Oryzias latipes: one gene and its partner. The protein of the gene in region 2 interacts with the protein of the main gene of each other region in a biochemical or structural test. Links are inferred from orthologs where the notes say so. Each region holds a gene or a part of one and is shown on either strand. Other genes may lie near its edges.

Region 1 (2,981 bases), on a different chromosome or scaffold from region 2:
GTGTTCTCCCTACCATGATAAAGGTGGAAAGATTTCATGTAATCCATGGACACCAGTGAAGATCACAAATCATTGAAGAAAAAAGGTTCAGAGAACTGTCTAGTGGGTCTAGATGACCCAACTCCCAATGGTAAAGTGCCTAGGACAGTACAAGGGTTATGAAATCAACCCAAGTTTCTTTTACGCGTTGCAGAATTACAACAGCAATATTTTAAATGAAATAAAAATAACAATTATAACATTTTTAGAGATACAAATTCTTGGCCTTCCACTAAGTCTTCTGCCCCCCCATAGAAAATGTTCCTGGCCCCTGGTAGGATGTCACACTTATTAAGAATCTCACTGAATCTACTTGACCTTTTTTGTAAATGTAAAACTTTATTTTCATGAAAATACAACCAACTTTACCATTTTATTTTTGTAAAACTCTTTTTTTATGATCATCGCACAACTTTGTTCTCAAATATAGGTTTAGTCGTTTATGGCTTTGTTAATAAAGTTTTGAATGAAAGTAGTTGAGACCTTATAAGTCAGTGATTGAGAATGCAAACATAAAAGTCGCAACGTTTGGTTTTAATAAAATGTTTAAAAAGTGATGTCACACTAAAGAGCATTATGGGACATTTTAGGATCACAGTGATTGAAAACTTTACACCAACAGCAGAACCGCATCATCCCTGAGGCGGTAACAGGATGATGATGTCATCAAGCAGCTTATGAGCCACTCTCCTCCTTCAACGTCTTGAAGAAGGAGTTGAGGGGAAGCTGTCTGGCTCTGCCCATCGCTGCAGCCGCTCTGGATTTCTTTGACGTCTTCACTCTCTCGGCGTTCTTCGAGGGTTTTTCCTCCTGCATCAGACACACACAGAATCGTCTGGAGACTGCAGCGCCGGAACAGATCTACATTCAGCTCCGGCTCCAGATCCGTCACAATGAGGTCAACACATCGACCGAGCCTCGTACCTTAGGGGATTCTTCCAAACCAGCCCGAGATTCATAAAGCTTTAAGATCTGAGGGAGAACAGAAAAAACATCTCAGAGAAGAGCACATTTATTCAGAAACATCAAAGGAAATCTGGACTTCTAGACTGCTTGAAGTTTGCAACAAATAAATATATATTTTTTTTATTCACATTCCTATTTTCTTTCATTTTTTGGTGGGTTTTAACAATTTTATCACTAAGTAACAGTGTTCTGTTTTTGTCTTTTTTAATGATAGATGCAATTTTATCTGGTAACAAATGAGTTTTCATTTCTTTTTTTTTCGTCGTGCACTTTTCCTGTATTTTTATTATTTTTACTGCGACCCATGAATCTATGATTGTGGCACAGACCGGGGACAACTTTCTGAACTTCATTGCAGCAGCGACAATGACAGTAAAGATCCATCTAAAGACGGCAAACCCAAATGATCAGAGCGGGACGAGTGCAGAGAAGAAAATCGTCTCTAAATAATTAACCGTTTTCCGCCAATGGAGACAAAGATCTGCAGTTTCATCAAATGAGACATTTGACGCCTCTGCGGTGAAAACCAGGACAGGCTCAGACCTTCTTCAGCCCCGTGGACACGGCGGCGCCCTGCAGAGCAGAGCGGGTGAGCCACTGCGTGTTCTCCGCCTGCACTCGGGCGTCGCTTCTCTTCAAGCGCGCGCTGTAGACCACGTACGTCTGGTGGATGTGGGAGAAGACGTGAACCACCTGCAAAGGAGCAGGAAACACCGCACAGAGGCGTAAAGATGGCTTCCTGGTGGACCACAGGTTGGTGATTTGCGTCGGGCTTACCTCTCCCACGTGCCGGAGGAGGCCGTCGCTCACGTCGGCGTTCAGCGTTCTGCTGATCTGATGACACAGCGCCCTCCTCCGCTCAGCATCGGAGTCTCCGTCCTGCAGCAAGAGACTTGGAAACTCCCACAGACCTGCCAGAAGACCTGAAAACAGCCCCACCTTCAATCCTGAGGAATCCCCATCCACCAAGAAAATAGTGTCTGAAGGTCCAGAAGGGTGCTGGAGTCGGGCTCCACCCCCAGGAATCCCGCTGCAGGTGTGACCTCAGACTCACCTTTGTTTGGTCTTTGCGTGAGCAGGAACTCGTGGTCGTCCTGCTCCCCGGGTCTGACCACCACGCAGGTCAGAGTCCGCTCTGCTCGGGGCGCCTTCTTTACTGGCTTTCTGGGGAAGTTCTGAACACCCAGACTATCGTCCCACGGCTCCAGGGGACACAGGGGACACGTTCCACCTCTCACTGAAGATGAGGGGGAAGACGTCAGACCTTCATCGTCAACCAACAGAAGCTAAGAGAAGATACAGCAGCCTTACTGCAGTCCTCCACGTCCAGCACCTCTGAGACGCTTCTGTCCGTCCTCCCCAGAAGCTTCTTGGTGTTTTGCTCTTGTTGGACTTGGACCTGCAGAGACACGACGACGGCATCAGCTGGAATTCACAGCAGCTGGTTCCCGCCTGCAGCGCTCAGGGCTTCGGATGAACCTTCTGATGCGAGCGGCAGTGGGCCCGGACGGGACAGCGGCTGCACAGAGGTCCTTTGGGGGTGCAGACTCGGGCTCCCAGCTCCATCATGGCCTGGTTGAAGTCTCCAGGTCTCTCTGAATCCACCAAGACATTGGCTAAACCCCTAAAACCGAGAAGAACCCACTGGTCTTTTTGAAGCATGTGTCAACGTCTCAACTATGTTAAATAATAAATCATCAAGCAGTTTTGTGTTTTCACAGGATTTAGACAGAAATTCTTCCAAAAACCATGTAGATGTTTACCACAGAGCCTGATTCGCTGCAGGACTTGTGCTGTCGGCTCCGATTGCTCTGAGCCGACACAGAACCCGGGTCACGTTTCCGTCCACAACTCCAGCAACCTAAGCAGCACAAGTCTGTCAGGTTGTGGGAAAAACGGGAATTGTAGCTCACATCGGGATTATTCTGAAACTCTGAGGATCCGTTATGGAGCATTGAAGCAAAAGCCAGCGGTTC
Region 2 (3,756 bases):
GAACCGCCTGCGTTTACCTTTGGTGTAAGCCACACAGTCGATGTCCGTAGGTTTGAGGCCTGCTTCCTCCAGCGCCTCCTCCAGGACGGTCAGTATAACACTGCGGTGGTGTCGTGCAGTGTCACTCGGCATGAACCCTGCAGAGCCCACGAACGCAAAAGTAGCTTCATACTTTGACATGCGCTCAGTGTGATGTGGGAGCAGATCTTACCTTGACCAGGGGGGGTGATGTAAGTCCTTCTTGGGTTGGAAAGCACTTCGCCATCCTTTATAATGCCAATACCAATCTTATTGGCACTGCCCTCAAACCCGATAACTATGGTCATGGCAGCCGGAAAACTCTTATCTGGAAAGGCAAAACAAATCCAAACACGTATTTAAGATTATAGAATTGGCAACCATGAGCTCAACCTCTTAGAGCTTCTATTCTCGTATCCTTGCAGCTTTCTTTGAAGGTCATTTATTAATTGTCTGTATCCTCTTTGTCCAGGTGAAGTTAGTGGTTACTGAAGCTTCTGCCACAACCTGGACACCAATGGAAGGAGGTGGAGCCTCCACCTATAACTGCAACATGAGGCATCAGCCAGCTTTGACTGTTCCAAATCAACAGCTGATGTCAATGTATGGTAACAACAAAGGAAACTTCAGAGCAAAGAAACAATTTGAAGATGCAGAATCCCTCGTAAAAGACAATCTAACAAAAAACATATTTGTATTTAGAAAGAAACGGAAGTAATTTACTTTTTTTCTTACTTAAAAGTTGAATCAAACATCAAAACATTTTGGCACCAGAGGCAGAATTTCACCATTATAAACAGGAGCACATAATGGTAGCACTAACAAAACCCTAAACTAACGTAAAAAAAATAAACCAGAATTATATTATGATTTACACATTTACATAGACAAAAAGAAAATAGTTTCCTGAATCTATAACAAATGCAAAGAAACAAACAAACAAAATGAACTTTCCATAGAATATTAGACGAATATTCAACTTTCGTAAGCTAACTCGAAAATGTACATATTTTTTAAATATTACCTAGCTTTATGCTTTCTCTCTTTCTTTCTTTGGCATGAATAAATTAAAATTCGTAAAACGATGTTTATTTCGACATTTCTTAAAAGAAACTACAGTTTTTAAGCTATTTTTGCACGCGAGGTTTTCAGGACCCAGGTATCGGTGGGTGAAAATGTGCCTTATCATAAAACTTTATTTACGGTCGCTTTATTACACTTTGTGGTAGGGTTAAATGTTTAGTGGTTAGCGTGAGTAAAAAATGATTATTTAAATATATAAGGATTGTATTGTATTTATATATATATCCTTTGATGTGTCAGGCACATGTGGGGCAGAACGACTTTGAGTGTGTGGGTCGACGTGAGCGCGTGTTTGGGGGAGTGACTGACTGGGGAGCACCATCGAAGTGGAGTTGCATCCTGTTGTGAACGTGCAAGTAAGGTTATTTGCATCTCCTTTTCCTGAAACGTCTCTAAAATAACCCGGCAATTAGCCGCATTTGCATTCGCCCGTTAATTTTAAGCTAGCATAAAAAGCTGCTTGGTTCTTCCACCAGACGGGGCTGCTTCCATTCAAAGAGCAGGCCGCCTGCTGCAGTTTCACTGCTCTTTGTTACAAGAACAACGCTAGTTCCTTGTTAGCTCAACTCGTGAAAAACAAATCCGCGAACACGAGATTCACCACAGAGTTTAGCACCTATACGCACGCGGCCCGGTAAATATGCACAAAACACGTGTTTTTTTGTTTTTGCATATCCTCAAGTAGTACACAATAAAAGAGTGAAGATCCTCATCCCGAGTCTTACATGTCACAACAAGATTGAGGCCTCGTTAGGGATGATGTGCAGGATCCCAAAACACACGGACAGTTTCAAACTGTTGCATTTCATCCAGTTAGGTTCAGCTCTTTGTGTGCTTCAGAGGATACTTACAACTTTTATTTTGACGTCAACCAAGACAATAACCCCTAACTTTCTCCTGGATCATCTTTAAATAAATTTGTTTGAACATGCCAAACACACTCCTCATTTTAAATAAACTTATAGGGGGGGGGGGGGGATAAAATGAGTATAATATCAAAGTATAGTAATTCTATATCAAGTTAAACAAATTTGGTAATATTTTGTCTTTGTGTTAACAATAAGGCTGACTTGTGTGGTAGAATAACAGTAGACAATAAAAAGGTTGTGTCACAGTGTCTTCTTCTAAAGCACTATTTTGTGAAATTTATGATATTTTTATGTTTGTAAAAAGTTTTTTTTCTTTGAAGTAAGTTTGGTTTAAGTGATATTTTTTAAATCCTTTTGAGTTTTTTTTCCCAACAATGTTCTTTAAAGTCAGTGAATTTTAATGTTTGATTTTCTGTCAGGCTGGGCTGCTGTTGACTACACGTTTGTCGAATTCATCAGTTTAATCAGGCGTTCCTGTGTCCAGCGGCGCGTGTGTTGCTGTGTGTGCGTGTTGTGTGTCTGCGAGGAGTGTTTTCTGTCAGATCAAGTTCAAAGATGAAGAGAGGAAAGAAGACGGAGGAAGCAGCGGCAGCAGACGGGGAGAATGACTCCGGCTCTGGTTTGTGCCAAACCTGCCGCTTTGTTTCATTGTTTCGTTTTGAAAATTTTTGAAACATTTTCAATCCTTTACGACAGCTTCTGCAAAGAAACCAAAGAAGACTAAGGAACCCGAGGCCCCCATTCTGTACGAGGACCCACCCGACAAAATGACCAGCAAAGATGGCCGCAGCGCCAACATGAAGATTACGTCGTGGAACGTGGACGGGCTGAGGGCGTGGGTGAAGAAAGGGGGCCTGGATGTAAGCTTACACCAAAAAAAAACCTGTTCACTAGGGCTGGGTGATATAGAATATTTTATATCACAATATAGATTTTTTCATATCAAGCGATAAATATCCCGATATAAACCAAGTAACTATGTGTAACCATGAAATGTGTAATCATCAGCTGATTGTTTAGATTTAAATATCTATTTCCTATTTTAAACATAACAGATGCGATAACGAAGATGATGCAACAGGTTTTTTTTTTAGATAAGTAAATGCATTTGTTACAAAGTAAAATGAAAATTAAAGCAAAAGCTTTCAAGTTTCAAAAGAGAACATAAAATGGAAACCGTTTGATCAGTTCTATTTGAAAACAAAACATACATTTTACAAATAATCGTTCAGTTCTGATTGGATCCTGTTAAAAATCCCCGCTTGTTCCGCTGTTTTATCACTCAAAAGTGAAAACACACACTCCACAGTGGCCGTGGAGGTTGAGCTTGTCTCACGTCGCATTTTTTCACTCGTGTGAAGACTAAAGAAATTCAGCAAAAAGAGAGCTGATGAACATGACTATGCAAACATTTCATGTGGCGACTAACCCATTACGTTTTACTTGCCAAAGAGGAGCAAAAAAACTCACAACCAGCGAGTGTTATTTTCGGACCCTTAAAAATTAAAGTCTAATGTGATAAAGTTCCATTGCTATGTACTGGTATATATTGTTATCGTTTTATCGCCCAGCATTAATGTTTGCTGCTATCCACACTAAAAAAGCATACCTGTCGTTCTCAGTGGGTGCGTGAGGAGGCCCCTGACGTTTTGTGCCTCCAGGAGACGAAGTGCGCAGAGAAAGACCTCCCTGCTGAAATTACCTCCATGCCAGAGTACCCACACAAGTACTGGGCTGTCTCAGATGATAAGGAGGGCTACAGCGGGGTGGCCATGCTAAGCAAGAC

Evidence for each region.
Region 1: the proteins of apex1 (region 2) and mutyh form a complex in vitro, tested with the Homo sapiens proteins (3 studies listed by BioGRID and IntAct, with this or other methods). The link is inferred for Oryzias latipes from reciprocal best matches to the Homo sapiens genes APEX1 and MUTYH.

Annotation. Positions count from the first base shown.
Region 1 is NC_019862.2:6,613,448-6,616,428, reverse strand, and holds the end of mutyh (adenine DNA glycosylase), read right to left. Parts: intron 2,867-2,981; coding exon 2,769-2,866; intron 2,630-2,768; coding exon 2,485-2,629; intron 2,405-2,484; coding exon 2,317-2,404; intron 2,243-2,316; coding exon 2,060-2,242; intron 1,929-2,059; coding exon 1,783-1,928; intron 1,699-1,782; coding exon 1,549-1,698; intron 1,012-1,548; coding exon 964-1,011; intron 850-963; coding exon 715-849; 3' UTR 553-714; downstream 1-552. UniProt on the Homo sapiens protein: Involved in oxidative DNA damage repair. Initiates repair of A*oxoG to C*G by removing the inappropriately paired adenine base from the DNA backbone. Possesses both adenine and 2-OH-A DNA glycosylase activities.
Region 2 is NC_019881.2:10,825,792-10,829,547, forward strand, and holds the start of apex1 (DNA-(apurinic or apyrimidinic site) lyase), read left to right. Parts: upstream 1-1,334; 5' UTR 1,335-1,457; intron 1,458-2,431; exon of another isoform or gene 2,432-2,454; 5' UTR 2,455-2,525; coding exon 2,526-2,589; intron 2,590-2,666; coding exon 2,667-2,830; intron 2,831-3,592; coding exon 3,593-3,756. Other genes in the region: osgep (probable tRNA N6-adenosine threonylcarbamoyltransferase), read right to left, coding at 18-137, 212-326.